Linked DNA regions of Lepisosteus oculatus. The protein of the gene in region 1 interacts with the protein of each later gene in a pairwise test. Links are inferred from orthologs where the notes say so. Each region holds a gene or a part of one and is shown in the gene's direction. Other genes may lie near its edges. The genes, in order: prmt1, spega, ewsr1a and heterogeneous nuclear ribonucleoprotein R.

Evidence for each region.
Region 2: the proteins of prmt1 (region 1) and spega interact in binary tests that used the Homo sapiens proteins (3 or more experiments, as listed by UniProt). The two-hybrid records come from large-scale screens. The link is inferred for Lepisosteus oculatus from reciprocal best matches to the Homo sapiens genes PRMT1 and SPEG.
Region 3: the proteins of prmt1 (region 1) and ewsr1a interact in a two-hybrid assay, tested with the Homo sapiens proteins (2 studies listed by BioGRID and IntAct). The link is inferred for Lepisosteus oculatus from reciprocal best matches to the Homo sapiens genes PRMT1 and EWSR1.
Region 4: the proteins of prmt1 (region 1) and heterogeneous nuclear ribonucleoprotein R interact in binary tests that used the Homo sapiens proteins (3 or more experiments, as listed by UniProt). The link is inferred for Lepisosteus oculatus from reciprocal best matches to the Homo sapiens genes PRMT1 and HNRNPR.

Annotation. Positions count from the first base shown.
Region 1 is NC_090702.1:791,531-798,974, forward strand, and holds the start of prmt1 (protein arginine N-methyltransferase 1), read left to right. Parts: upstream 1-4,325; 5' UTR 4,326-4,402; coding exon 4,403-4,426; intron 4,427-7,069; coding exon 7,070-7,165; intron 7,166-7,444. UniProt on the Homo sapiens protein: Arginine methyltransferase that methylates (mono and asymmetric dimethylation) the guanidino nitrogens of arginyl residues present in proteins such as ESR1, histone H2, H3 and H4, FMR1, ILF3, HNRNPA1, HNRNPD, NFATC2IP, SUPT5H, TAF15, EWS, HABP4, SERBP1, RBM15, FOXO1, CHTOP, MAP3K5/ASK1, MICU1 and NPRL2.
Region 2 is NC_090707.1:23,240,061-23,248,057, forward strand, and holds the start of spega (striated muscle preferentially expressed protein kinase), read left to right. Parts: upstream 1-4,925; 5' UTR 4,926-6,017; coding exon 6,018-6,453; intron 6,454-7,997.
Region 3 is NC_090717.1:13,479,204-13,487,255, reverse strand, and holds the start of ewsr1a (RNA-binding protein EWS), read left to right. Parts: upstream 1-4,959; 5' UTR 4,960-4,993; coding exon 4,994-5,009; intron 5,010-8,052. Other genes in the region: rhbdd3 (rhomboid domain-containing protein 3), read right to left, coding at 987-1,247, 1,621-1,744, 2,165-2,554, 2,926-3,088. UniProt on the Homo sapiens protein: Binds to ssRNA containing the consensus sequence 5'-AGGUAA-3'. Might normally function as a transcriptional repressor. EWS-fusion-proteins (EFPS) may play a role in the tumorigenic process.
Region 4 is NC_090706.1:7,943,816-7,951,270, forward strand, and holds the start of heterogeneous nuclear ribonucleoprotein R, read left to right. Parts: upstream 1-4,422; 5' UTR 4,423-4,656; intron 4,657-6,288; 5' UTR 6,289-6,302; coding exon 6,303-6,459; intron 6,460-6,781; coding exon 6,782-6,900; intron 6,901-7,128; coding exon 7,129-7,236; intron 7,237-7,455. Other genes in the region: rpl13a (large ribosomal subunit protein uL13), read left to right, coding at 613-685, 1,175-1,240, 1,630-1,731, 2,220-2,305, 2,512-2,571, 3,128-3,337. UniProt on the Homo sapiens protein: Component of ribonucleosomes, which are complexes of at least 20 other different heterogeneous nuclear ribonucleoproteins (hnRNP). hnRNP play an important role in processing of precursor mRNA in the nucleus.

The DNA of each region.
Region 1 (7,444 bases):
CTCTACTGAGCTGTACTGGGCTTTTACCCCGATCTCACTGGGCTCTACTGAGCTGTACTGGGCTTTTACCCCGATCTCACTGGGCTCTACTGAGCTGGACTGTGTTTTTACCCCGATCTCACTGGGCTCTACTGAGCTGTACTGGGCTTTTACCCCGATCTCACTGGGCTCTACTGAGCTGTACTGGGCTTTTACCCTGATCTCACTGGGCTCTACTGAGCTGGACTGTGTTTTTACCCCGATCTCACTGGGCTCTACTGAGCTGTACTGGGCTTTTACCCTGATCTCACTGGGCTCTACTGAGCTGTACCTCTACTGAGCTGGACTGTGTTTTTACCCTGATCTCACTGGGCTCTACTGAGCTGTACTGGGCTTTTACCCTGATCTCACTGGGCTCTACTGCGCTGTACTGTGTTTTTACCCCGATCTCACTGGGCTCTACTGAGCTGTACTGTGCTTTTACCCCGATCTCACTGGGCTCTACTGAGCTGTACTGTGTTTTTACCCCGATCTCACTGGGCTCTACTGCGCTGTACTGTGTTTTTACCCCGATCTCACTGGGCTCTACTGAGCTGTACTGTGTTTTTACCCCGATCTCACTGGGCTCTACTGAGCTGTACTGTATTTTTACCCCGATCTCACTGGGCTCTACTGAGCTGTACTGGGCTTTTACCCTGATCTCACTGGGCTCTACTGAGCTGGACTGTGTTTTTACCCTGATCTCACTGGGCTCTACTGAGCTGTACTGTGTTTTTACCCCGATCTCACTGGGCTCTACTGCGCTGGACTGTGTTTTTACCCTGATCTCACTGGGCTCTACTGCGCTGGACTGTGCTTTTACCCCGATCTCACTGGGCTCTACTGCGCTGGACTGTGTTTTTACCCTGATCTCACTGGGCTCTACTGCGCTGGACTGTGCTTTTACCCCGATCTCACTGGGCTCTACTGCGCTGGACTGTGTTTTTACCCTGATCTCACTGGGCTCTACTGCGCTGGACTGTGCTTTTACCCCGATCTCACTGGGCTCTACTGAGCTGTACTGTGTTTTTACCCCGATCTCACTGGGCTTTACTGCGCTGTACTGTGTTTTTACCCCGATCTCACTGGGCTCTACTGAGCTGGACTGTGTTTTTACCCCGATCTCACTGGGCTCTACTGAGCTGTACTGGGCTTTTACCCCGATCTCACTGGGCTCTACTGCGCTGTACTGTGTTTTTACCCCGATCTCACTGGGCTCTACTGCGCTGTACTGTGTTTTTACCCCGATCTCACTGGGCTCTACTGAGCTGGACTGTGTTTTTACCCCGATCTCACTGGGCTCTACTGAGCTGTACTGTGTTTTTACCCCGATCTCACTGGGCTCTACTGCGCTGTACTGTGTTTTTACCCCGATCTCACTGGGCTCTACTGCGCTGTACTGTGTTTTTACCCCGATCTCACTGGGCTCTACTGCGCTGTACTGTGTTTTTACATCTATGCATCTCTGACATAAAAATTTGGATGACTCAAAACTTCCTTCATCTTAACTGTGACAAGACTGAAGTCATGCTTATTGGTACCCCCCATCAACTTCGTAAAGCCAGTCCTGTAACCCTGTCTGTAGATGGCTCTGTACTTGAGCTCCAATCAAAATTGAAAAACCTTGGGGTTATATTCGATTCTGGCTTAACATTCGACCCACATGTACAGCATACTGTCAAAACATCTTTTTTTCACCTTAGAAATATCGCAAGACTACGCCCTATGCTATCATTAACTGTGGCTGAAAAGCTGATCAACATATTTGTATTCTCTCGAATTGACTACTGCAATGCTCTGCTCCCTGGGGTATCTAAATCTACTCTGAACAAGCTGCAGTATGTCCAAAATTCAGCAGCCAGAATCCTGACCAGATCTAGTGCAAGTGTTCACATTACTCCTATCCTGGAGTCCTTGCACTGGCTTCCGGTCAAATTCCGCGTAGACTTTAAAATCCTCATGCTCACCTACAAGGCTTTACATGGCTTGGCACCTCAATACCTGTCTGAACTTTTATCGCCCTACTACCAAGCTCTGGAACTCCTTGCCCAAGGATATTAGAGAGTCACCTTCTCTAAACTCCTTCAAATCCAGACTCAAAACCCTCCTTTTCAGAAAAGCCTTTACTTAACTGGTTCCATTCTTCACCCCTCTGCTCTTCTTAATACCATCTTCCACGGTCTCCTCTATTGTTATTGTTGTATTGCTGTAATTATAATTGTGTCCTGTCTTGTGAAATTTTCTTATTTATTGTTGTAGTCTTCTTATTTATTGTTATTGTCATCCTGTAAAGCGCTTTGAGAAGCCACCTTTAAAGGCGCTATATAAAATAAAGTTTATTATTATTATTATTACCCCGATCTCACTGGGCTCTACTGAGCTGTACTGGGCTTTTACCCTGATCTCACTGGGCTTTACTGCGCTGTACTGTTTTTGCCCTGATCTCACTGGGCTCTACTGAGCTGTACTGTGTTTTTACCCTGATCTCACTGGGCTTTACTGAGCTGTACTGGGCTTTTACCCTGATCTCACTGGGCTTTACTGCGCTGTACTGTTTTTACCCTGATCTCACTGGGCTCTACTGAGCTGTACTGTGTTTTTACCCCGATCTCACTGGGCTCTACTGCGCTGTACTGTGTTTTTACCCCGATCTCACTGGGCTCTACTGAGCTGTACTGGGCTTTTACCCTGATCTCACTGGGCTTTACTGCGCTGTACTGTGTTTTTACCCCGATCTCACTGGGCTCTACTGAGCTGTACTGGGCTTTTACCCTGATCTCACTGGGCTTTACTGCGCTGTACTGTTTTTGCCCTGATCTCACTGGGCTCTACTGAGCTGTACTGTGTTTTTACCCTGATCTCACTAGGCTTTACTGAGCTGTACTGGGCTTTTACCCTGATCTCACTGGGCTTTACTGCGCTGTACTGTTTTTACCCTGATCTCACTGGGCTCTACTGAGCTGTACTGTGTTTTTACCCCGATCTCACTGGGCTCTACTGCGCTGTACTGTGTTTTTACCCCGATCTCACTGGGCTCTACTGCACTATACTGTGTTTTTACCCCGATCTCACTGGGCTCTACTGAGCTGTACTGGGCTTTTACTCTGATCTCACTGGGCTCTACTGCGCCTTTACCCTGATCTCACTGGGCTTTACTGCACTATACTGTGTTTTTACCCTGATCTCACTGGACTTTACATGATTTACACTATTTGTACCGTGCTTTATGATATCACTTGTAGTAATATGCGCACTTATTAATCAGATTGCAGAAGGTTTAATTCATCTCCACGACATATCCCCAGAACATTATTGTTGGTGCTGTGAATTTTCATTATTATAACGCATGAATCTTGCAGTGGGAGTGGCTGATTAAAAAAATTGCAATCAACATCATACACATGTTTGACGACCCATATAAAACATTATTTTCTCTGTCTGCTGTTAAACCGCTATATGACGTCATATTCGTCGGTCCCCACCAGTCCTTAGGACCCGCCCCTCAGCTCGGCTCCCTGAAGACGATTGGCTGTTGCCGAGCCACGGCAGAAGCAGAAACGATTGGCTGTTCCCTGGAAGCAGAAGCCCACTGATTGGTCTAGTTACCAGTCAATCAACCAGAAGCTGATCTCTTACTCGCAACAGACCCGCCTTCCGGAGGATTTAAATCCTTTAAAGAAAATCCCGCCGGTATGGATGGCTATGCATTTCTATCCACGGTGGTGACAATCTTTATTTTTAAGACCCGATGCACGTTTAAATAAAGCTAAATTCCTGTTTTAACTCTGCTGCGTGTTTCCTGCATTTGAGATTTTTTTTTGCTCTTGAAAATAACAGTTACTCTTGATAGTAAGAACAATAAGACGCGCAGCTGGGGGTCAGAAAACACAGTCTGGCGCAATTATTCGGCGTTTTCAAAACATGAGAGGTTTTAGTTTGCCGAATGAAACCAAACTGCACGGACGTTTCTGTCTCCTGCCTGATTTGTTCGGAACACGAGCCGAGCGGCGATGCAGAGCCCGAAACTGGTCTCCCCCTGCAGGCGCGGAGATTTACAGTCTCTGCAGCTGAGTGACTCACCAGGGGCGGACAGGAAGCCGGTGGGCGGTGCCCGGCGGTGACTGGCGGCCCCCCTGTCCAATCGCTGTGCCGCTTTATCCGAATGCGCCATGGATGTGGGCGGGGCCGGAGGCAGCCAGCACGGTGGGCTGGGACAAGGGGTTTGACCAATGGGAGGTCTGCGCTGGCGGAAGAGGGGCCGCCCCGTGGGCGTGGCCCAAGCGCCGTGGCCCAATCAGGGCGCCGGGCCTGGGTTTTGGAGCCGGCGGGGGGGCGGGACCAGAAGGTGCGTGTGGGGCCGCGGAGCAGCAGACGGAGACTCGAAATGGCGGAGAACGCAAGCATGGAGGTGAGCGGCCTGGCGGCGTGTGCGGGCCGGGCAGGGGGCCGAGCCGCGGCGGGCAGCAGGGGCTGCGCCGCGGGCCGGGGACCCGGGCGAAGAGGGGCTGGGCCGGGCTGGTCCGGGTCGGGGGGGATCGGGGAGCGGAGGCGGACGGGGCGCCAAGCGCGTCTCTTTGTTGGGTCGCTTTTCGTGCCGGAGCGGCCGCGTCCATTTTAGCTCGGTTCCCCCAAGGGTTCTGGCGGGGCGCAGCGGGCGGGGATCGGGGACGTCGGTCCGGTCCCGGTGCCGCTCGCAGTGGGCTCGGCTGGAGCAGGGGGGGCCGGACCCCCGAGCCCCTGAAATCTGCTCCCGAGCCCGGCGTGGGGCGCGTCGTGACGGGTCTCGCCCGGGGCTTGAGCCCGAGTCCGTGGGGAGGAGGAGTGGGGTGGTGAATTCCGACACGCGTGGGGAAGCTCGTGTGTCCCTGCCACCATAGGTCCAGGCGGGCGCCTCGTGGCGTGGGGGCGCTTTGTGTCCACTGAGCCTGTGGTGGCGCACGTGGGTCCGTGTCCTTTATTCCCCGTGGCGGTTCGGGCCCTCGTGCTGTCGGGGAAGCAGGGTGGCGTGTTCCGGGCCGGCGCGTACCCACGCCATGAGTGGGTTGCCGGCGCCAGCCGGTCACGCACAAAGACGACGAGGAGGGGGGGGGTGGGACGCGCGCACGAGGCGGCGAGCTCACGTGTCACCAGTCGCTGTTACCGGCGGGCACGAGGCCTCCCACGTTGTGGGTGCGCGCGCTTGGTGGTGGTGGGGGGGGTCACTGGTGTTCGTGGGCGTGAGATGAGATTGATCGCGTGGAGCTGTAGGGTGCCCACGTGTGCCCCCCCACTCATCCGTGCGGGGTAAGGGCTGATCGGGAAGGGGGCGCAGGTCCGCTGTGTGACCAGTGGGGGCGCTGCTGGGGTCCTGGGGGGAGTGTGTCACCTGTGTGCAGCACAACTCATGCCCACCCCTCTCTCCTCCTCCTGTCTCTCTCTCCCCCCTTTCCTTCTCCTCCTGTCTCTCTCTCTCTCCCCCCTTTCCTTCTCCTCCTGTCTCTCTCTCTCTCCCCCCTTTCCTTCTCCTCCTGTCTCTCTCTCTCTCCCCCCTTTCCTTCTCCTCCTGTCTCTCTCTCTCTCTCCCCCCTTTCCTTCTCCTCCTCCTCCTGTCTCTCTCTCTCTCTCCCCCCTTTCCTTCTCCTCCTCCTCCTGTCTCTCTCTCTCTCTCTCCCCTTTCCTTCTCCTCCTCCTCCTGTCTCTCTCTCTCTCTCTCTCTCTCTTTCCTTCTCCTCCTCCTCCTGTCTCTCTCTCTCTCTCTCTCTCTCCTTTCCTTCTCCTCCTCCTCCTGTCTCTCTCTCTCTCTCTCTCTCCCTTTCCTTCTCCTCCTCCTCCTGTCTCTCTCTCTCTCTCTCCCTTTCCTTCTCCTCCTCCTCCTGTCTCTCTCTCTCTCTCTCTCTCTCTCTCCCTTTCCTTCTCCTCCTCCTCCTGTCTCTCTCTCTCTCTCTCTCCCCTTTCCTTCTCCTCCTCCTCCTGTCTCTCTCTCTCTCTCTCTCCCCCTTTCCTTCTCCTCCTCCTCCTGTCTCTCTCTCTCTCCCCTTTCCTTCTCCTCCTCCTCCTGTCTCTCTCTCTCTCTCTCTCCCCCCTTTCCTTCTCCTCCTCCTCCTGTCTCTCTCTCTCTCTCTCCCCCCTTTCCTTCTCCTCCTCCTCCTGTCTCTCTCTCTCTCTCTCTCCCCCTTTCCTTCTCCTCCTCCTGTCTCTCTCTCTCTCTCTCTCCCCTTTCCTTCTCCTCCTCCTGTCTCTCTCTCTCTCTCTCTCCCCTTTCCTTCTCCTCCTCCTGTCTCTCTCTCTCTCTCTCCCCTTTCCTTCTCCTCCTCCTGTCTCTCTCTCTCTCTCTCTCTCCCCTTTCCTTCTCCTCCTCCTGTCTCTCTCTCTCTCTCTCTCTCTCTCCCCTTTCCTTCTCCTCCTCCTGTCTCTCTCTCTCTCTCTCTCTCTCCCCTTTCCTTCTCCTCCTCCTGTCTCTCTCTCTCTCTCTCCCCTTTCCTTCTCCTCCTCCTGTCTCTCTCTCTCTCTCTCCCCTTTCCTTCTCCTCCTCCTGTCTCTCTCTCTCTCTCTCCCCTTTCCTTCTCCTCCTCCTGTCTCTCTCTCTCTCTCTCCCCTTTCCTTCTCCTCCTCCTGTCTCTCTCTCTCTCTCTCCCCTTTCCTTCTCCTCCTCCTGTCTCTCTCTCTCTCTCTCTCTCCCCTTTCCTTCTCCTCCTCCTGTCTCTCTCTCTCTCTCTCTCTCCCCTTTCCTTCTCCTCCTCCTGTCTCTCTCTCTCTCTCTCTCCCTTTCCTTCTCCTCCTCCTGTCTCTCTCTCTCTCTCTCCCCTTTCCTTCTCCTCCTCCTGTCTCTCTCTCTCTCTCTCCCCTTTCCTTCTCCTCCTCCTGTCTCTCTCTCTCTCTCTCTCTCCCCTTTCCTTCTCCTCCTCCTGTCTCTCTCTCTCTCTCTCTCCCCTTTCCTTCTCCTCCTCCTGTCTCTCTCTCTCTCTCTCTCTCCCTTTCCTTCTCCTCCTCCTGTCTCTCTCTCTCTCTCTCTCTCTCTCTCCTTTCCTTCTCCTCCTCCTGTCTCTCTCTCTCCGTGTCCCTGTGTGTCCAGGTGTCCCAGGGGGAGAGCTCAGGAAAGCCCTCGGCGGAGGACATGACCTCGAAGGACTACTACTTCGACTCCTACGCGCACTTCGGCATCCATGAGGTAGGCCCCACGGCCCGGTCCCCTCGGACCCGCGCCAGCGGGAGACAGGCGGGGCTAGGCTCTGCTCGCGGGCGTGAGAGACGCAGCCGCCGGGGCTTCTGAGGGGAGACCTCGGGGGGCCGCGGAGAGCTGTGTCCGCGGTCCGCCAGGTGATCTCCTCGGGGACTGGCACTGCGCTCCCGTCGGGACCCCAGATCGGCCGTAAACGGCCTGGGCAGCAGAGAGACGACACAGGTGTGTCCCGTCTCATCCTGCTGGCTGCAGCACTGGTACAGTCCA
Region 2 (7,997 bases), on another chromosome or scaffold:
TAGTTTTTGTTATGCTTCATTGAGTTAATGACATAAGAGGGTTTAATGAGCAGCAGGATTCTTGGTAAAATGAAACTTCCCATTTTCCTTAACCTAAAAATCTCTATGGGGAGCAACTGTGACAACAGGGATTTCCATTAGATGGTTAAGACATAGCCTAATGCCAAAAAGAAAGTGTTTCTGTGATTGGGCACGATGGTAGTAATGGTGCTTTCAGGCAGGCTTTCATTATCCAAAACTATTACAAACTATTACATGTGCTAAGTGTCAAAACAAAGATTTTAAACTCCCACTCCAGGCCAGTAGTCTATTCGTTTGATACCCACTAGCCAGAACACATTGGAAAAGAAAGAATTTTCCAGATTGATCTGAAATCTTAATATTTTTTTAAAACATCAGGAATAAAGTGTGACCTGAAAAGTAAGTGTTGTTTGGCGATTTCTGTTAACAAATACAATTAGACTGATATATTTATTTTAAATGCTTTAATCTCTGAAGTATACTCACCACAGTTGTCACATTGAACAAGGTGAATTATCCTTTAAATACTCTATTAGCATTGGAAAGACTATGAATAGTGTGTGACTGAATCAACACATTAAATGTTTTCTACAATGTAGACCCTAATTATGTTCACTGTTGCTGAAGACATTTTGAAGTGGTCTGATGCTTCTGAAAATCAGAAGATTGCAGAAATGTGCAGTGTTATTAACTGCAAAGTAAAAAGAACCCTACTATAGATTTCTGAGTAATATTAATTAATGTCTGTTAAATTTGCACCCGTAACAAGACATCATTTCTGGTTCTTTCTTTCATGTTTCTGCTGAACCATGGATAAAACATTAAGCTCATTATATTATTTATATTTCACAAAATCTTCTCTTGAATAAAAAAGCAACCAAAAATCTTGGATTCATTTTAATATTACCTTCTCACTTCCAGTCCACCTCGGGACCCACACACTAGTCATAAGTAAGACAGAATACTGGATGTGTAGCCCTCATGCATTATTGTGAGGTTGTTTCCAAGGCAACCAGACACTGAGGAAGCAACTCAGGCAGGTTTTACTTTAAGAATAGTGTAAAGGAGGTAGGCACACAGAGGGCAAAAATGCACAGAGCAGTTCAGCTGAGTAAATTAATAGAGACTAGATGAAAAAGAGGTTTATTGCTACTGTGATGTGCTTCAGATAACACAGATCTTTGCAGATCTGTGTCTTCACCGAATAGCATATTAAGAGTTGAACTGAACTACCAGTGGAAAAGTGTTTAAAAGGAATTTGTTGAAAAAAGTTTGAGCCTGCTGGATGGCAAAAAATTACTCCACTAATCATAAGCAGACAATGTCTTCAATATGATCTTTTTTAGTATTGCTATGAAAATATTTTCCTCATTTTTTAAATCAGTTTTCAATTGTGTTATTATGTTGTGCAAATAACAGAAAATAAGATTTGATGGATTTCAAGGTCCCAAAATACAGATAATATTCAAGATTATGTTATCATTTGTGTGTTGTAGATTTCCAATTTAACACTCTTTTTATTCACTGGAAAGAAGGCACTTCTTCAGCAAAGTGAGTTTAAATGACTCCTGACTTTTCTGTGTTGCACTGAATGAAAAAGACAAAAATAATTTTCAGCAATTTCATTTTTGCTGATATGCTGTAGACTGATCCACAATGCCCCCAAATGTTATTCATTTTTGTTTCCAATAATCTCCAGGGTTATGCTTGTAAATTTAAAACTACAGATTGCATCATGAAAAACAAAGTAAATACAATCATATTATATAGTCTTCATCTTAAAATAAATTTTCAGTTGTCTTTGTGCTTCATATACTGTATAAGGAACAGGTTTCTTTAAAAAAACAATATTAATGTCTATGTGTTTGAAAAAAGAAAAAAAACTGCACAGTAGGGATGAAGTGGCCAGCAGGTGGAGATGTCTGGTTCATCTTTTGCAGTTATCAGAATTCATATCATACATTTCATATACTTCAGAAAAACCTTAAATATCACAGTGTGGACACTCACTTTATCAGACTACAAATAGAACGAAACTTTAGAGAATTTAATTCAATTTTTACATGTAACAAAGGTGATGATTTCTGTCTATAAAACACATTTCTAGAAGTTAAACTGAAACTGGCAGTGCAAAATCACAGTAACTAAAGTAAGCAGTGTTTTTTGGGAAAATCAGAGAATTGAGAACCTTTATTTTCAACTGCATCTTCAGTAATCATCTAATTGAACACAAGATGACTTGTTGAGACTGTTCTTTTATAAACATGTATTTAGTTATATTGATATTTGCCCATTATACATCTATTCTGATATAAAAAAACAAATCTAATTCTACTCCTATTCACCAGTATTTGAGGTTTTCCATAATTTGGTATAAGATCACAGTAGAGGTTACAAAAGAGAAGATCTTTCATCATTGATGACGGATAGTGAATAGGTATGTCCATGTTTCATTTTTGCTATAGTTTTGTATGTATCTGAGGGATCTGAGGGATGTGCTTTCTGTTTTGAAGCTCCATATAAGCATTGTTTTACATTTTTAGAACTACAGAGAAGTTTACAATTTGTATTATTATTTATTTTGTTTTTTTTATTTCTGAGTCTGTTTCTGTTTAAGGATATTCAAAGGCTGGGTTACAACAACTATGAACTATGTCAAAATGATTCTGCTCAAAAAACAACCATCAGATCATCTGTCATGTAAACCAGCTGAATTTCATCATGTCTGAAGGTTGGTGGTAATTTTATTTTAATCCTTCTTAAAACTTATATTATCGTGGAACATCCTATCATGAGCTCCTTTGCAAGTGAAATTAACGATCATATCACCTAATTTATCCCAAGATAAAAAAAAGGGTGGGGCAGTGGCTCTGTGGCTAAGGATCTGCGCCTGTTGCTGGAAGGTTGCCGGTTCGTATCCTGCAGCCAGCAGAGGAATTCTACTCCATTGGGCCCCTGAGCAAGGCCCTTAACCACAACTGCTCCAGGGGTACTGTATAAATGGCTGACACTGCGCTCTGACCCCAAGCTTCTCTCCCTCTCTGTGTGTCTCAAGGAGAGAAAGTTGGGGTATGTGAAAAGACAAATTCCTAATACAATAAATTGTATATGGCCAATAAAGTGCTTTCAAATTATAAGTTTAAGTTAAGACTGATGACCTTCATAATAATTAAAATATCGAGCCTTTGAAGAGCATGTTATTGATAGGGCCCTCACCCGGGCCAAAAACAGCCCTCACATCATCAACTCCACCACGAACTCTTGGTCTTACAACAGCATTCCTTTCTATCCCCAGGACCATCATTAACAACTACTCCATTTTACAGGGCAATCCCTCCATCGGTACCCTTTTTTTCTAACTGCTCAATCATCTCATACTGCCGACCACCCAATCTACATAAACTTCTGGTTCACAGCTCCCTTGAACACACTCGGCAATCATCCCCACCAGGCACCTTCCCCTGCAACAGAACTTGCAATGCATACACCTGCAAATTATTTACTGTATCTCTTGTAAACAATGCCCAGCTATCTACGCTGGGGAAACCGGAAAGAGACTAGGAGACCTTCAGAGAACATGTTAGGTCTGTGAAGATTAAAGATTTCTCCAAGCCCATAGTTTTTCATTTCACCTCAGATGGCCATGATTACACTGATCTCTGTCTCTGTTCTCAAAGAAGAGTTTCTCAACTCCCATAGCAGAAAAACAACAGAAAAGAAACTCATCCTGAAACTAGGTTCACACCATCCCCCTTCTATCAATGACCGAGTTATTTTTCATGTAATCTTCTTTATTCTCATGCAGGTTTTGACTTCACACCTTTCTTCACCCCTGTCCACTTTGCACTTCCTGAGTGGGGTCTCTGCCTCTCTGTCCCTCCTGCCTCCTCCCCTCCCCCAGCTTCTGTTCTTCTGTGCTATTTAATTTTTGCTGTCTGCCCTGTCTTTCTCATACCTTAAGAAGTCTTCACAGCCGAAACGTTGTGTTTTCTCTCTTCTCTTTTCAGCATGGAATAAACCTATTACTTGTTCCTTAGCATAATTTAAATATATCAGTATATCAGATAGCACATGACAAACAGACAGCTTAACTGCTTCTTATAAAGATGAATGGTTAAAAGTTATTTTAACAATAATATCAATTTTAGGATCAAGCATGAATGTAAACATTGGAATGTATTCAAAATTTAATGCACACATATTAGACACTTATTCAAAACCTGAATCTTTGAACTGAACACTTCTATGGATAAGATACTATAAATGTCAGAAAAAACCTAAAGAGAAAAAAAACCTGAATATTGAAAAAAGACTGAATACTTTTCTTATGCAATCATGACTTTTTCACTTCTTTTGTATTATCTATGTACTTTTTTTCTCTCTGATTTTTTTTTACTTTGTTTGGAGTAAATATATGAAACAAATAATAATAATGGCTACTTCAATGAGATTACTTCATGACTGGAAGCTTTAAAGTAACAAAATAAAAAAACTGTGCCTAGTTCTGAATACTTGTAAAAGTCACTGTACATACAATTACATTTAAAACAATCAAAATTGTTCTTACATTTTCTAAATCAATGCTTCCTTCATTTTCCCTAATCCTTGTGTCCTCATCTCCAGTATGATATACACAGCGATTAGGACAGATACTACTAGATTATAGCTGGAAGGACTGATCTGCACTAAGATCCAGGGGAGATTGGAGGCTGCCCTCTGCTTACACCTGATGCATTTGAAGTTATGTTTGCAGGTTCCTGGTTGGCTTCTATCTTTGACAAATGAATCAGAACTTAATCTCCTCTCCCTCCTTTTGCAGTCTCACATGCACACTGTGGGTTGTTTGGTTGGCTAGATGTCCGAGGGGGTGGTAGGAGGAAGAAGAATTTTACTGTCCAAAGAATGTGACTGATCAGTGAGCAGCTGTCACTTCAAGGCTTAGGGGACTCAACAATCACCTCCCCAGGGACTCAACTAGATAGGGAGAGAGAGTGTGACTGCAAGAGCTATACTCAAAGAAAGTGTGGACACCGTAGGCACAATAGAACTAGATGCCTACAGAGACAGAAACATGTATGAAAGGCAAATTAATTTGGTAATACCGGAAGCATAAGAAGTTGCAACCAAGAAGCTATAAGACTCCCCAGGTCCCTTAAGACCTTGAAGATCCACACAGAAGGGTGTAAAGCAGACCTCAGCAGTTCCAAAAGGCAATACAAGGAGGTTGCTAATGCAATATGATCCAGTGGGACTTGCACTAAAAATACCATCAACTTTGCTTCACTAGGAGAAACTGGACGGGCTGTATCTTTTTTAATTGGCTAAAGATTAAACCTTTAGTTTTTCTTTCTAATCACTTTATCTGAACTGTTCTAGGAGGTGAAGAGTATTCCAAAGCTTTTTGGCTGTAGTAACATTAAGGTAATACATTTATTTATTACTCATATGTTCTAAGGTTCTAAGGCTTGATCTAATAAGGCATTATTTTGGAGACATAAACGTAATGCAGAGGTTCAAGTTTGCAATTCTGGAAGCATGACTGTTAGGCTAGGATTTAATATGAAGAAAACAACCAGAATTTATGAAGGAGTTAATTTTTTTAAGTTATGTTGAAGAGATACATCTGTATGTTATTTGTAAATCTTCATAAATTGTAGAAAAAATGTTTAAAACTATGAATTTTTAAAAGCTACTTTGCATCTAAATTGTAGTTTACTCACACAAAAAGTTTTGGAATACTTGAATTCAAATATAAAATTATTCTCAAAGCCACCATTAATTAGAGGATTTGCCTGCTGATGAACGCTTTTGCTTGCCAAGACAATCCAGGCTAAGAAATAATTGTAAACTAAAAAGAATGGCAAAAGTTCAAGGGCCAAAATAATAAAGAGTTTAAAAGATTTTGGAAAAAAGTTGTAAAAGGAATAGTGAGAAAATAAAAGTAAAATAATTGATTTTGGGGCACTTACAAGAGCTTAAAGAAGAAGATTCCAACAATGAGAAAGGCTGAAGTCCAGATGACCCTGAAGAAGCCTGGGGAGGAGGGAGCCCGGGGGCGGATAGGAGTGGCGCCCCCTAGTCCTGGCATCCCATCGAAACGTGCCAAAGTGGTTCCGGATCAGGTGGTACCAGAGCTAGGAGGCTCAGATGAGTATTCTTACCGAACACCACCGGTTTTCCTCCGCAAGATGAAAAATGCAGCTGTGGGAACGGGGTGCGACATCCGTCTGAAAGTAACAGTGGCAGGTGATCCGCAACCTAACTTGCACTGGTACCGCAACGACATGCTGCTTCCTATGGATAACCAGGAATATGGAGGGCTGTGGATCAGGGACTGCAAGCTCAGTGATGCTGGGCTCTACACCTGTATAGCGACCAACCCGCTGGGAGAGGCAAGAACCAGCGCTGTCCTTGCTGTCATGGACCTGGAAGGTAATTCAAAAAGACAACATTTATCTCTAATCAGTATTGGTTATTAACTATTTTTCTCTTAGAGTGCTCACTGTTTTTTAATATGTTTTTTAACAGTTTTTTAAAAAATGTTGTTGTTTTTTCCATTTTCAGAGGTTATTAAAAATAAGGCCTACAGTGTGTAAGGTGCAGACAAAAACTTGTTTGGAATGGTTCACTGCACTATGGCTCTAGCTTTTACCTTCAGAAGACTATGTTTTGTTTCTGCATTGAGTTTACAGAGTCTTAATTCTGTTTGAAAGATAAGGCAAACTTAACAAAGCTATGATTTAATTCACAGTAAAGATTTTATTTCTGTGTAGTACTGTACTTTAAAATTAAGTATCAGCATCTACTACTAAATACTAATTAGTTTCATTCTGTATTATGCATTAATAATGGATGGATAAAGTACTGTAAAGCAATATTGATTTAAATAACTGGTAACCACCGCTGGTTGTGTCTCTTAAAATGGTGGGTCATTGGGAGGCACAGTAAGATGGAGTAGCTGTATCATCTTCTGCCACTTTGTTAAACGTGTCTTTATGACAGTTAACCACAGTGCTAATCTGGGTAGGACAGTATGGAATGATGGTGTCAACTGTAATCCTGAATCAAGATGTGTATTTCCACCTAAAATCCAACTGTTGAATGCAAATTCAGTTCAGTTAGAGTTCATATGGATAAAGCACGTGGATACCAGAGTAGGGCCCAGATAACTTTGAGGTTTTTATGGAACCAAGTGTTACAAATTGATGGTTTCTGAGGTTTGCTATATACATCTTTGGGAATTCAGAAAGAGTTACACCTAAGTAAGAAGTATATACAGTATCTGCACATGGATTGAATCATGTTATCAACAAAAACTCCCAAGAAATTACAGAATCCCTTGATTCATAAATACATAAATGAAGGAAATTGTACGGTGGTAAATGGTAAATCAAAAATTCTTTATAGTTGATAATGAGCAAAGTAAACATCTTACATTTTAAAATGTATTTTCCCTAACTCTGCCCAAGTCTAATTTTAACTTCCTTCTTTTTGTTATCTTTCTGATATCAACTCTGAAATTTAAGTAAAAGTGTAATAATTATCTTATTCCCAATTCTTCTGTTCTTTGTTGAGTCTTCTTTTCCCACAGAAATTAGTTTAGTGACTGGAAAAGATTTTGGCACTTTGTTGTATTTTTTAACACTACAGTGTAGTATGCCATATAATTTGTCTCATCACACATTCAAATATCCCCTTATCATCTTTGCATTCTGGAAACTTCCTAGACAGCAATTTTCAGATTATGATGCAATTCTGTTATGAAATGAAAAATGTCAAGATCCGACCATATTATACATTTATATCAATATGACTAGTTCCAATGTTTTTTCTTTATATTTCTTTTGACCTATTTATGTTTTTGTGTTGAATGAAGACATTGAAGTAAAACCCAGTAAATGTTAAGAGAGGCAGATTTCTTTGTTAGGATTTAGGTTTGTAATACGATTTGTATTTTGTTAGTAGAGTGTAAGAAG
Region 3 (8,052 bases), on another chromosome or scaffold:
AACCCATGGGAACACAGTGGGAACATACAGACTCCACGCAGACAGCACCCCAGAAACTGACCCCAGGGCCCCAGCACTGCGAGGCAGCAATGCTAAAGACTGCACCACCATGCCTCCCTCACAAACATGTCTTTTAAGAAAGTATTTAGGTATAACACACGGCTTGTTTCCGAGACAACAGACAAGAAAACCATGCATTTAGCAAAATGTCATTTTTACGGTCGGACTCAAAGGAAAAACACAAACATGTCCACATACCAACACCAAGAGAATATCTCCATTAGGCCCTATATCAAAGAGAACGCATCTAAATCCCCAATGGAAGCACAAAGCCTCCAAATATGACTCAGATATAACATTTTTTCACAGAATGCTAATTCCAAAACATGAGTCACAAAACCTTAAGGCTCACAGTATCTTCTGGTTTCTATTCCTTTTCCTTCGAGTTTTTAAATGCTACACTGACCTACTTAGAACTTTCTCACTCTTGACCATTAACTTAGCTGCCACCTAAAGCACTGCACTTCACAACCATAGCAGTGGTACTCCACTGTTCTTGAAAACCCAAGACATATGTTAATTCCACCTGCATGAATATGACATGACCTGTGACAGACAGGACTGCAGTCTCTAAATATTCCTGTGTTTGACCTGTTTCATGCACACTGACAACCCTGGACGTAGGGTATTTTTTTGTGCAAACTAGCATGTTCAAGTTCAGACTTCTTTCCACACAACCTCATCTGTTTTGGTTTCAGTTCTTTTACATACGTGACCTTATTTAATTTGATTGGTGAATTACCGAGTCAACCTCTTTCAATAAAAACGACCACTACACACTTCAAACCAGTACTCTGGGGTTGAGGATTACCTATGCAGATTAGACCAGAATGTAAAAAACTGGGGTAGTTTCCTTTAGCATTAGCCCTGCGTGTCAGAAGGGCACTGACCTCTGCGTTCCCAGAACACAGGTTTCGGTGACTCACCGCAGAGATGACACTGAAGATTTGGGCAGCTCCAGTTTCTCGACGGATCCCTCAGGAGCGTCCTGCAGAGAGGCCAGGATCCCTGCTCTCAGCAGCTGCTCTTCCAAGAGCTGGACCTCGGAGACAGCCGGCACCTCTCCTGCTGCCCAGTCAGGTTCCTGGGATTTCCAGGGCTCAGGCCGCATGTCATACTCCTCCCACTGGGACCTCTGCAAGGGCTCCAGCTGCCTGGCAGAGGACGGCTCTGCCCACGGATCAGGTCTGTAACACATGCGTCACGACACAATTGGAATAAGGGCTGGATTCCATGACACAACCCAACCCTTACTGTCTCCCCAGGTCAAAGAAACCCAGGGAGAAGGAAGAATGAAGTAACGTCAGTATTCAACCTGATTATCTGAGCTCTCTACGGTCTAATGTATTAAACGTAGAGTGGAGCACCGGCTGTGAATCTAAGTTATTAGTATTTTATGAGAAGATCCATCTTCTTTGGGTGCACAGATGTCTCAGATTCACCTTGTCATGCTCAGCAGCGTCCAACCTCAAAATGACCGACCAGCTCCCAAGAGGAGATGCAGACACATGCAGGGTTCCTTACAGAGTGTTTCGCACCCTGGGCTTCAGTCGTTCCTACCTTTGACCCGTGCAGCTCACGGGAAGACTGTCTCTATAAGAGGAAAGCACAAAGGCCCTGCGTGGGAGAAGACGACAGAGATGGTCTTCTCCTTTCTGCAGCCACTTGAGAAAGGCCGAGCTATCTGAGAGTCCACAGTGAAGGAAATCAAGTATCACAGACTTTCATTTGTTAATGATTTTTCCTCACAGGTTACAGGGTTTTGGGCCAGCCAGTCAGATTCAGTTCTGTGGTACAAAGTGTCAGCCAGTAGGGAGCAACCGACTGGTATAACAGTCTGCCGTCCCGCTGCTTGCTGGGATCGGCTCCGGCTCCCCTGTGGCCCTGGACTGGATAAAGAGCTTGGAAAATGGACAGATGGGTGACATCCGGGATCTGTAACATCCGCAGTGAAAAAGAGTCTTAAGCAAAGATCACGGCTCTTTAAAATCTGGAGAACAGCAATAATGGTGCAAAATAAGCACTGTGGAAATAAAGTCTTAAAGAAGGGCCGTGTACAAGCCTGCTCCACGAGGGGCAGAGCAGCAGATTCCCACAAGGATACAACTGAATCCCACGCAGACCGCGCACAGGTGGAGCAGGGCGAGGGAGGCCGGCACCAGCAAGCAGCTGCCGGCCAGGAGAGCCCAGGGCAGGGCCCAGGCCGGGAGCCAGCGACGGGCTCGTCCCTGCTGGCCCAGGCGGCACTGGGCAGCCAGCATGGCGAAGTGGACCGGCGAGTAGCCGCCCACCCGCCCCGCCCCGCCGGCCCCCAGCCGCGCCAGGACACAGTACAGCAGGGCCGGCAGGCAGCAGGAGAGCAGGGACAGGGCCAGGAAGCACGCGCTGCCCCAGCGCCGCTCCTGCGCCGGCCCCAGCGCCAGCAGGGCGGCGCTGCTGAGGAGCAGGGCCGCAGGGTCCTGGTGGCAGAAGGCGTAGGTCCACAGGCGGTGAACTCCAAGACAAAGCAACGGACAAAGGGAGTTAACGCCAGGTCCCGCTGGCAGGGTAGACTGTGGGATAACTCTTCCAAGATCATTAAGAAAACGTATATTGTTTCCTACACTTGCTGTGTGTTATCAAAACCCATCTATTGCTACATGCAGTTACATCTAAAAACCTAAAACAACCCTTCCGTTATTTGTTTAGATTTATATAGAAATGTATGCTGTAATGATAGATCTAGTATTTTATATATTAATTCTATATTTAATTTCCTCAGCAGCTGCTAGGCAGGAGACACCCTCGTGTTCCTGTGAAAGAGAACGGTGCAGGTGCGCCTGTACCTACCGCCTGCTGCACGAATGCACCCCTGGGCGGACTCACCTTGCAATCCAGGTAACACTTTTTCCGAGTCGAGGTACAGAGTGTCGTACGCTCCGCTGAGCCAAGTAACCAGTACGGCACCGAGCAACCCGGCGGTGCCGGCTGGAAACCCGGACCGGTTCGACCCAAGCCGAGACCAGAACGAGGGGAACCGGCTAAGCATCGCAAGTCATCTGTCCGCCCATTCTGTCAAGCGCCAGGTGCCTCTTCCCCCGCCTTACTTTCAGTATGAAATCAACACCTGAAGGCTTTCACCGGCTAAGAGTCCCCTCACCACCAATTTCGTCGAAACTGAAACAGTCGAGTTCAATAAATGGTTCGTGCAATACCGTGTCTGCGATATTCAGGACTCTCTCTGAAGGTTTAGTGAACCACCGCATTGTCAACCCATAATTTACAAATAAAACCCTATTTCATTTCAGCCACGACGAAGCATATTAGGAAAAAGTACTAAACTTCCCCGAACCGCACATCCTAGAGTTAGGGACCATCACAAAACTGAACACTAGACCTGACGAGCTTGTTATCCGATGAACACAAGTAAAAGTCAAGAGTAGTTCAGGAGGGTAGCTGCGCCAGCACGCGTAGGTTGCAATTGAACAAGTAATAGGTTTATTCCATGCTGAATAGAGAAGAAAGAAAACACACAACGTTTCGGCCGTGGAGCCTTCTTCAGGTGTGAGAACGACAGGGCAGTAGGCAGAGGTAATGTAGCAGGAGAACAAGAGCTGGGAGAGAGGAGGGGACAGACAGCTCAGTTGCAGGGGAAAGTGCCTGGTGTGGATGGGTGCTGAGGGCAGTCAAGGGAGCTGTGAACAAGAAGGTTGCGCAGATTAGGTGGTCAGCGATACGAGATGATGGGTGGTCAGAAAAGAGGGCCCCAATGGAGGGATCATCCTGTAGGCTGGAAAAGTTGTTGCTAATGGTCTTGGGGATAGACAGTGTCGGGGCGGTAGGGAAGCACAAAGGTATGCGGTTGTTACGGCGGGGGTTCCTGATTGAGCTGATGGTCTGAGGGGTGTTTTTGGCTCGGGCGAGGGCCCCGTCAATCACACTGCTGGGATATCCTCTGCTGATGAAAAAGGAGCACATTTTGAGGGCTTGGTTCTGGAAGTCGGTGTCGTCGCTGCATAATCATCGTAGCCGAAGGAACTGTGAAAAGGGAAGAGAGTTTTTAGTGTGTTTGGGGTGAAATGAGCTGTACAGGAGATAGCCGTGTGAATCTGTGGGTTTGTAATAAACCGAAGTGGAGAGTCGGGGGTAGTTGACGGAGAAGTTGATGTCTAGAAACGAAAGAGTAGAGGAAGATATGTTAACTGTATATTTGAGGGACGGGTGGAAGTTGGTGAAATGATGCAGGAAGAACTCAAGCTGATCGTTGGAGCATGTGGCAGCACCGACGCAGTCATCAATGTATCGCTTGCAGAGGTCAGGGACATAGCCAGTGTAGGAAGCGAAGAGACAATCTTCTACCCAGCCGACAAAAATATTGGCATAGCGGGGTCCCATTCTGGTGCCCATGGGAACTCCACTCACCTGTTGGTAAAAAAGGTTATTGAATGAGAATTCTGTGTGAGAACCAATTCTGCAAGGCGTACCAGTCAAAAATATATGACTAACCTTGTCCTCCATCTACAAGATGTGCACAAAGAGCACCGTGAGTCTCAGATTAAAATAATTACTCGCAGGGCAGGATTGCTCTGTGTTGAATTGTCACCTGTTTGTGTTTCATCGTATTGAATTTTTCTTCTCATTGAAAAATTTTGAGACGGTCCCTAGCATGCTTTTTACGTCATGTGGGGGGGGGGGGGTGACCAACTAGAATGTACCATTTTCGAAGTGAGTTCGAGTTCCCTAAAACCCAGCGTATGGAAAAAAAATCACTGACCATAAATAAATAATTTACCCACAAGAACTAAATCGCGTTATTACGTGAATGGATCCTAAACTTTCCAAATGGATCGGATTTTTTTGCTTCTTCTCCTCCTCCTACGACGGTGAGAGTTGGTAGAGGCTTAAGCCCCTCTTCGCGCATGCGCGCCAGGAACACTCACAGAGGACACACGAAATGGCGTCAGCAGCTGGTGAGGGCGGCGGGGAAGCCGTTTCGATTTATTACTCGGTTTTATATATATATTTTGGTGAAAATGGCAAACAGATCTGACCGCTGTTACTAGATGGCACGCACTGCAGCATGCTCCCCGTCCCCTTGTGGCGGTGTTTAGGCTGTGAAAGCGAGATAATTGCAGTATTGGGGGATGGGGTGGACGTACATCCCCATTTAGTTGGAATACTTTTGAATTTCAGGGTTCTGCGCCGGTTGCATCGGCCTCTGCAGAAACGCCTTTTCCTCGGTGCCATAAGACGGGATCGTTTTTTTTTCCCCCTCATATTTTGTCCGTGAAGGGGCTGGATTTGCAGCGTACGGAAGGACAACTGTTGCCTTGTGGCCGGTGTTCAAAACTAATCAATTAAACCAAGCGCATCTCTTCCGTCGGGCGGCGTAACCCCCCCCCCCCCAAAAAAAAGAGTGCGTTTTATTTGTTAAAATGTATTTTTGCCTCCGTATTTTCGTGCGCGGTGTGCACGGTCGCTTGATCGCGTCCGGAGACAGCGGTGCTCGCCGGTGCGAGGTGAAGCGGACGGGGTGGCCGCGGTCGCGGCCTTCTGAGAGTGGAGACACCCTGGCCGCGACGGAGGAGGGGACCTCCCGCTACCCTGACGGAGAGCGGGCAAGCCGAAATGAGGCGTGCATATCTGGCGGTTGTACAGCGGCAGGGCGGGCGGTCCAGCGTTACAAGCGCTTGAATGGCGTGTTTGGGGGGATCTAGCTGAGCTGTTCGTGGGGGCGCCTCGTTCTTCACACCTTCGCGAGTCCGAGGGCCAGATGTGGTTGTTGTTGTTGTTTACTCCCTTACCCCCACCCCCAAAAACAAAACTCGCCATAATCGGAGTGCACGCAGCCCCCTGGGCGTGTGTGGGGTGTTCCGGCCTGCCGGATCGCGGGTGTTTTCCCGAGCGGCTCCTGCGCCATGCGGGGCTGTCAGACGCCGCCGGCTTGTTGTAAAAACGCTGCTATGGCGACCTCCTCCTCTTCCTCCTCCTCCTCCTCCGCGCTGCAGCGCCAGCTGCATGCCCAGGCCCTGCCGGGGTCACACGGCTGCCCACACTCCTGTTGGGGCGCAGCTGTAGGTGTTGTTGTGGGGATGGCCTTCGCTCAAACCCCCCAGGTGCTTGGTAAACGCTTATTATTATTATTATTATTATTAATATCGCGATGGACCCCCTTTTTTTTGCAGTGGAGAAGTGCGTCAGATATCAAACTTCTTTTTTAAAAAAAGAAAAAATTGCATTTTGAGCAAGGTATCCGAGCTGTATCGACGCGACTCCGCGACTTGGGTTTGTTTGTTTTTTAGCGTGACGGTGTTCCCTCAGCCCGCTGTGCGTGGTGAGGTGATGGGGAATGCGAAGGACAAAACTGCACGCAGTTATTTTGTCTGAGAAAGGCTTGGTTTTGAACCTGTGATATTCGGGCTTCTACTGCTGTTAAGGCCTTAATGTATCTTATTTTTAATTTTCCTAAATTGTAGCTAGTGATATCCTGCTGCATTTGTGTTCAGCTGCTGCATACCTGAGTTGTCCTTGTACCTGTGTGCACTTTCACGCCATCTTCGATCTGTACTATACCCTCTATACCTTAAAGTATAATTCCTCCTTTCACAGGCTTGGGATGCTTAGTGCTGTGTTGCCTTCAAGTGTCTGTGGGCTGTGTGTGAACTTTGTCCCCTGTTGTCCAACTGGAAGACTAGCCCTGTGTTATTTTACTGGACGTTGCACTCTGGGATCCCTATCTCTCCACAGAGCTGAAGTGATCATTGAGGCTGTTGTTTCAGTGTTTACAAAGGATGTGCTGTTTCATGGTTTTGATAGTTGTTTGTTCTTGCCCAACAATGTCTGTAGCTTCTAGCTAATCCTGTGGCCATTGTTTGTAAGCTCACAATGCTCCTAGCTTTCCTATTCAAACATGCCATAACTGCTACATGAGTGAATACAGTCGTTTGTATATGTGAAATACCCTTGGAATTTGACTATAACTAAACATGATGAGATTATTTTAAAAAGTCTGCAGAACTTAATGCTAGTGATGTTTAAGCCTTGCTTTTCCCTTCAGTTTTTTTGTCTTTACAGTGCTTGACACTGTTAGGCATTTGCATCTTGGTTAGAGTTGTATTAATTTGGTCTTCAAATTCCAATACAGACAGCAGACTCTTTTGTAATTCTCCTGTCTTTCTAGGTTTTCTTGCAGAATATACAAGTGTTTTAAATTACATATGTCTAATCCCAAATATGTGTTTTTGTAAAGGCTTTATATTGGATTCTAAATGTGCTTTATTTAGAATTCATGATATTATCTAAAACTATTCCACAAACATGCAGTGACTGGTAGTTTAACGTGTATATGGCTGTTGCCACAACTGTAATGTACTGTGTACATTGCTTTCTATGCTCTGAAACCTGAGCAGGTAATTTTCTCAAATGCCCTGTTTGAAAAACAGTTGTAGTCCAGTTTATGTAAACTCATTATGGCCCACAACTGTGTAATGCTATTGACAGGCTTTACCTGAGGGTCTTCCATTCCTAGTTCTGCAGAGGTCCAGCACAAGAGGTTTTGTAGTTTTCTCCTAAATTATGTTTGTAAAACTGTAGAATATTGTAATTGTGATAAGATTTTTAGCAGACTTTTATAGCACAATTATAAATAAGTTAGGCATCAAGAGCCAAAGATCCTTGAATTAAGATTTGCCCAGTAATTGTTCCCAGTTTTTAGACGTAGGCCCAGGTGATTCAGGATGACCTGTGTTTAATTGACCTGATAAATCATGTAGTGTATTTTGAAGCTACAACATTTCATCTATCAGAACAGTCTACATATCTTCATTGTAGCCAAGAGTTGAAGACTCCGCAAATATAGAGCCAAATGATAATATGCTGTCTTTAAGACTATACAGGAAAGTGCATTTTAAGGTTCCAGGATTAAAGTGTTCCTACCATTTCATTATTAGAGAATAGAGCCGACAGCTTTAGCATTAATTTCCATCACCTTTTAGTCATCAAAGTGTTTCCAAA
Region 4 (7,455 bases), on another chromosome or scaffold:
GATGTAAAAATATTTTCTTTTGTGAAGAACCTCGTTTTAAAACCGGGCTGCATATTTTCATCCGTCGTAAAGCGCGAATGTACTTAACGATTAATTTTTATTAAAGCGCCACACGTTGTTTCCCTCACGTATTACTTTGAAAGTGCTATTAAGCGTTTCTTCCTTTCACGGTTTTTGTTTTGTGATTACCTCATCCTTTGTGATTTGTGTTGAGAAACAAAATAACGTTTTGTAGTGGTCTTGGGTGTCGGTGAAGCATTTTCGTAAGTGAATAATTGATTTTCATGGCAAACGTTGTCCCGCGTGATAAGTTTCTGAAATTTGCAACCAAATCTGGATCCCGTAGAAGTGTGCTCAGCACAACTCTTACCAACGCGTGTTACTTGGCGAGTGCAGTTAATGATGGCCTTTTCAGTTTATATATGATGTTGACCATCTTTATTAATATGAATTAGGACGTTGCGTTCAGTTTAGTTTAAAATGTTTGCCCCCAAATTAGTGGCGAAATACTTTTCGACGTAGCAGTTGCTGAGGTGCAGTGCGCTCATTCCCAATGCCCTGGTGGTCAGCAGTAGCTCGTCGGCTCTAACTCGTAATTTTCTTTTCCTCCAGGTTCTGCTACTCGATGGCAGAGGCCATCTGCTTGGTCGCCTGGCTGCCATTGTGGCCAAACAGGTTCTGCTTGGTAAGAATCTTTCTTTCTGTCGTTTATTTGGGCAGTTTTGTCTGAAGCAGCCCAAGTGATATCCCTTGTTCAAGAAAGAGGACCTGTGCAGTGTCCCATCTGGGACGTGTGCCCACTGCCTTTTTCCCCTCTGATTGCAGGGTTGGTGTCATAATGAGCTTGTACCTGGTTGTAAATAAGCCACCTTTTTCACCATCTTTCACTTCTACCTCTGCTGCAATATGTAATTGCTAAAAGCAGTTACAGATTGTACTACCAGTTGAAGTAGTTTATTAAAATAAACGTTTTAGAGGTCATTTTAAGAAGTTCAGTTGTCTAAAAAATGGACTGACAAATACCTGACTGTCTATGATGATGCTTATCCTACATTGTTCGAGTTTAACTACCATGAGAAAACTTGACATGCACTACCATCTGAGACGGCAGATGGTTTTTAATGGCAGCGTCCAGCAGTCCTTCGATGTGCCTAACCGCCTGTTACTTTTACAGGCCACAAAGTGGTTGTCGTGAGGTGTGAGGGCATCAATATCTCTGGGAACTTCTACCGGAACAAATGTAAGTGACCTCTTCTGCACTTCAGTTTAAGTCCATGTTTGCGGCATATCTGCGGGGGATCCCTCAGTTTAAAAGGATAGTGGCGACCAAAGCGAACTGGAAATGGCCTTTCTTGTGGGTGACCTAAGATCTTAGAACAGAATTGCTGAGCAAATCATGCATTTTCTGGTCATGGTGTAAAGAATTTACCTATTCATTATTCCTAGCAGGCTTTGCATTTTTTTTGTACTAAACTGAGAACTTAGGTCCGTGGGTAACTGAAGTCAATGTAATAATGCATGTGTGGCTAAGCAGGAGGTAGAGGCTGGTCTTTGTCTTGGGTAGCACAGTAAGTGCATGGTGCTGTCACAGTTTGGTCATGCTCATGTTGAGCTTTTGTCTTGGAACAGTGAAGTACCTTGCCTTCTTGCGCAAAAGGATGAACACCAACCCATCCCGTGGGCCCTACCATTTCAGAGCCCCCAGCAGGATCTTCTGGAGGACAGTGCGAGGTGAGGCGCTCTGAGGGCTGGAGCCTTCGATGTTACGGCAGCTTACAGAAGCCACAGCATGCGTTGACCTAAATGGGTGGCATTGCGACTTGCTCTCGACTGCTGATTCCTGAACTGTGATGAGTCTTATCCCGAACCTGACCTGGTCTGATGACAAAAATATGGATCTGACTGCTGAGTTCAGATATTCTTTAAACCTATATAAACGTTACTTAATAGTGTATATCCATAATAGTTAAACCAGCACTTTTCTTGCAATCAAAGCGATGCTTTTCCATTTTCTGGAAGGCTTTTGTGAAGTCTTTTTCCAGGAACGTAGCCCTGATACTTAAGATAAGTTGCATCTTCTATATAGATGCCCTTTAATAATTTTACTGCATAGGGCCAAACATGGCTTCACCAAATGCTGAGCAAGGGGGTGCTCAATTAAAAAAAAAAAAGAATTATGGTGACTTTTTAGAAGTAATTATGCCTTTCTTTGTAAACAGGTATGCTTCCACACAAAACAAAAAGAGGCCAGGCTGCATTGGAGAGACTGAAGGTCTTCGATGGAATCCCCCCCCCTTATGACAAAGTGAGTGGCTCCTGCACACTTCATGCACCTGATCCTCTGATGTGCGCTGTCGATGATGCTTCTATTCTACCTACATTGTTTGAATATTCTTAAATGAGAACATGAAACACATCTGAGACACACTGACTCTTGTCCTTTAAAAGGCTTTGGTTCTATTCGGTGAAACTTGACACCCCTCCTCTCTCCCTCCCCAATGTGTCCCGCAGAGGAAGCGTATGGTGGTGCCAGCTGCTCTGAAGATTGTGCGCCTGAAGCCAAGTCGCAAGGTGACTGTTGTAAAACAAACATTTGGTTTTGGCCTTTATAAAATGGCAAACGTCTGAAACGTGTGGTTTTACAGGAGCTCTTCTGAAAATATTGATACCCTTTTCAAAATAGTTCATATAGTTTCTGAGGCAGGAGCTTTGAAGTGCTGTGTGTCAGTGATGTTTTTCCACAGTTAAGTATTCGAGTTTCACGACCATGAGAATACTTGACATGCACTACCATCTGAGACCAGACAGCACAGGATTCTAGTAGACCTGTAGTATTTAATGTAAAGGGTGATGGATAATCTGATAAAAAAATTAGCTTCTCGATGTACTTACAAGTACACTGGGTGGAAAGCAGACACATGCATGATTGTGTCCCTATATACTTGTAGTGGTTAGGACTGGAAAACTTACTTGGGTTTGTTGTTCTGATCATTTGACTGGAAATGTGAAAAATATACACATTCGCTGTATTTGTTACCCAAAAAATGAAAGACTGGGGTGGGGGGAGCTCAGGTTGGAGGTCCCATCGAATGAGGTCTCATTGCTCCGTCTTGGTCCTCCCCTCCAGTTTGCCCTGCTTGGCCGCCTGGCCCATGAGGTTGGCTGGAAGTACCAGGCCATCACAGCCACCCTTGAGGAGAAACGGAAGGAGAAGTCCAAGATCCGCTACAACAAGAAGAAAACTGAGCTGAAGCTGAAGAAGCAGGCGGAGAAGAACGTCGAGAGCAAAATCGCCAAATACACTGAAGTCCTGAAACAATATGGAGTTCTTGTATAAACTGGCCGTCTTCACTCGGAAAATAAATGTTTATATAAAGTATCCGCTGCTCTCATGGGTTATTTTGTTTGGATGTTGTGGGCAGTGTCTGGATTTGATTGTGAAGTGTGTGGTGCCCCTGTGTTAATAAATTATTTTCTCTGGTGTTTGCAGGAATCTCAATACAGCAGTTATTTAAAGTGCCATTTGCAAATGAGTTCTGTTTACAAGCCATGCAGATTACTTGGCTTTAGAGCAGATACCTAGGCCGTGTTAATTTCATATCCCTAAATTCCTTTTTTCTGAATCAAAAATACCATGTGATCTTACAAGGCATTTGTCTTGCAGTTCCATCGAATTACCTTTTTTTTAGTTTTTCGAAGGCTATTGTGGGGGTGACTTCTGAGATGAGAAACAGGGAAGATTTTCCTTATGTCCTTAATCATGAAGTCGTGCCTTACGAGCTGCATCACAATGTAGCCCGTTCAGCCCAGGTACTAGCGATACAGGAATATACGGAGATCAAAAGGATTACTAATATTACAGAACCTGTGCTGGTACAACGACATGAAAAGAAAGGATATAAGCACTTGCACCCTGTCTTTTCTTAACGTAGTTCGGGTTAAACGATTCCCTATTACAGCCTGCTCAGATTTCGAAGCAAGCAACTCAAAAATAACATCATCGGCCGAAACAGACTTAATATCGAGAGCAAGAGAGAACTACCGCGTAAAATGCCTACAGCTGTACAAGTTCAAGGCAGTGCGTCGTCTTATTTTGTGTTTCTGAAAATGACTCGGGTCTACATCACCATGCCGTGATAGCCCCGGTTGTGCTGCATGTACCCTGTGCCTAGGCACTGCTCCTGTAATTTTCCATTGTCACTGGAGGTGTCGGGATCGGATTCTTTCTGTAGACTCGTACTCTGCTGCAAAGCGCCCGCAGCTGCTTCTCTTTCCAGCTAGCAGGGCTGCAGCCTGCCGCTCCTTTCCCTCTCATTGGTCCGCCGCTCACGCCAGTCTCCCCGCTTCGCTTCTCTGATTGGCGCTTTCTTCCCCTTCGCGGCGGCCCTGGAGAGTGCGCTGGGAGACCCCGTGGCAAAGTGGCGTGCGCGCTCCCCTAGACAGGGTCGGGTTGACCGCGAGGAAGTGCCGTGGACGAGCATTGGTCTGTCTTAAGTCTTCTCCCGTGGGCAGATTTATAAACCCTTCCTCGAACACAGGCAGATTTAAAATACAACAGCGTCTCAGTATTTTTTTTAAAGACACGTTTTTTTTTTAAAAAAGGCCGCAGACAGTTGCGGGTAGCTGCAGTGACGGAATTCTTGCTTTAAAGGAGCGGTAAGTTTCAGCCGGTCGGATGTGTTTTTCTCGGGCTGGAGGGGGATGGTCTCTGCTTTGGAAGGGTTTTATTTAGGCCTGTGAGGTGGGCTCGTTTTTTTAAAGCGTCTCTGAGAGTAAAATAAACCCAGACTTAAATCCAGGGTAGGCGCAGAAGGATCTCTAGGCATCATTTCGTATGCAACAGAAGTATACGTAATCACAATAAGGGGTTTCGGAGCTTTGCGTTCTTGTAGGCCTGTCTGAAATTTGTGCACCAAAGGGGGCGGAACGGATTTTTTGTCTTCGGCCGTGTGTGCAGTCCCAACTGCTGGTATTAATTTACACAGAAACCATTGTTTAAACCCGCAGGTCCCCATCGGGAAAATTCCTACAAAACATCAACCGGACGCAGGCTTGCTGATTGCAAAATTATTGCGTTTGGCCGATTTTCTTTGGTATTTTGCCGTATCTTGGGTCTCGGAACTGCGTTCGGGTTGGCGTTTTTTTTTTTGCAGCACCAAAAGAGAAAAGCTCCGGTAAACAAGAACTTGATCCAGCTAATGCTAATTGCAAATTGCTATACGCTGTAATTTTCAAATTCGTGTAATATATTACCTAAAATGCCTTCCATATTCCACATTAGCCTAGGGATTTTTTTTCGGCGGCGGCTTGGGTTAGATCAGTACGATTTTCCATTGGCAGTTTTGCCCGCTCCCAGCGGATTAGGCAGAAATGCCTTTTTTTCCCGTCAAGAAAAGACGAGATTTGCTGGAGTCCCTCCATTTTTTTTTAAAACGTTTGTCTCGGCAGTGAGATCCATTTAGCCACCCCGCTTGTGTTTCGTGTAGCTCCGCTGTCGCTGACTTTTTAAATACATTTTTGTCGGCCCAGTTGCCCAGTTTTGCCGTGTGCGGTTGATCCGTCACGCCATCGCCAGCATCGCTTGGATTTGTAGAGAGCATGGTGTGGAGAACCGGCACCCAAAGCTGATTAAGATCAATTTCTTTAGTCCGTAAACAGGGATTCTTTTCTTGAACGTTGTGTGCAATATGTTAAGCATGAACCAATACAAGGAGAATAAGATGCGTTCTGAGTGTTTATCTTAATGTTACCCCACAAGTACCCCTGAGAAATTATTTGGATCAGTGACCCTTAATTCTATATAAATAGTTTATGCTACAGTTCTTGTCGGATTTTATGTTTTAATTTGACAAAACTGTTATTTAGAGTCGGTGGTGAAAGATTTTCAGGAATAAAATAGTGTTGTAATGTATATAACTCCGGTTAACATTCATATTTCTCCACATTACAGCATTAATAGACTTGCATAATGTTCGCAGAGTACTATAAAGAATTTAACAGTTTTGACATTTGTAATTCTTTATGAAGTGCAAGCACGCTTTTCTATGTTTGTCTAGAGAGCATTTGGACACGGTGTGTTTGAGCCAATTTATTACCTCTTTTGAGGTTTTGAGGCCTTTCTGCATCTGTTTCTCATTTTTACCTTTTAGAATATTGATCTGGTCATTGCATGTAGTGTTACAGTACATCTACTAGAGAATGTCTCTGGAAATGTCGGATGACGGTTTCAGATGTTATTGATGTGCATGAGAGTTTAAAATTGCTCATGGGGTTGATTTTCTTCTTCAGTTACAGTAGGAGAAATGGCTGCTGAGGTGAATGGTAACTCTGCCCAGGTTAAGGAGGAGGACGAGCCAATGGACACCTCAAATGTAACCCACACAGAAAACTACCAGACTCTCATAGATGCTGGATTACCACAGAAAGTAGCAGAAAGGTTGGACAATATCTTTCAAACAGGTATGTGCTGGTTCCCATTCCTCATCTGCTGTGTGCTTAGTTTTTCGTTCTTAGTTTTGTTTAAAGAAAAACAAAATGGCAAAAAGTTTCACCTTTGCCCTCTTACCTCCATCTTTCTCAAGGGTGGTTATGTGGGGCAGGATGTTGTAGCTCCTTTGACATCTTAGAAAGTAATAAGTTAATCGATCAAGCGGAAGGATTCAGTGACACTGGTAGTGTGTTGAGAAGGGACACCGTGTGAAGGAAAGTTTGTGGTCCCAGGAAGAATGTCTGGTATTAGCAGTTGGTGAGAGTGCCATGACTTAAACACCGCAAATTACAGGTTTGGTGGCATACGCAGATCTGGACGAGAGGGCCATTGATGCCTTACGAGAATTCAATGAAGAAGGTGCTCTCTCCGTTCTGCAGCAGTTTAAAGAAAGTGACTTGTCTCATGTACAGGTGAGTGCATGTCCTATAGCTCCCCTATTTTTGAATTAACTGTGATTATATTCATCAAAGCGATCATGTTTTTTTTCTTTTCTCGAGAGAGAGAGTGATTTTGCTTTTTAAAATAGTTATATTAATTATTAGCAAGCATTTGGACCCTCCCCTCCTATCCCATCCCTACCTTCCATTGCCTTAGTGCTCTTTATTTGCTTAAATTAATTTTTCTGCCTTCTGTTGCAGAACAAAAGTGCATTTTTATGTGGAGTAATGAAAACCTACAGACAGCGAGAGAAGCAAGGAAGCAAGGTACAAGAGTCTACAAAGGGGCCAGATGAATCTAAGATTAAGGTAGAGTATTTGTAAAAACATACAGAATGGTTCAGTTTATTATTTTAATATGTTAGAACATTCAGTAGAATTTGGTTTCAGATTTGCCAGTTAGTGTGAATTGTCTTTAGGAAGCTTGCTATGGTGTTCAGACCATGAAGCCCATTGCTGGAGAGTGACGTTCGGCTGCTCTGAAGGCCTTTCATAAGTGTTTTTAGAACTGTTGATTATAGATGGAGT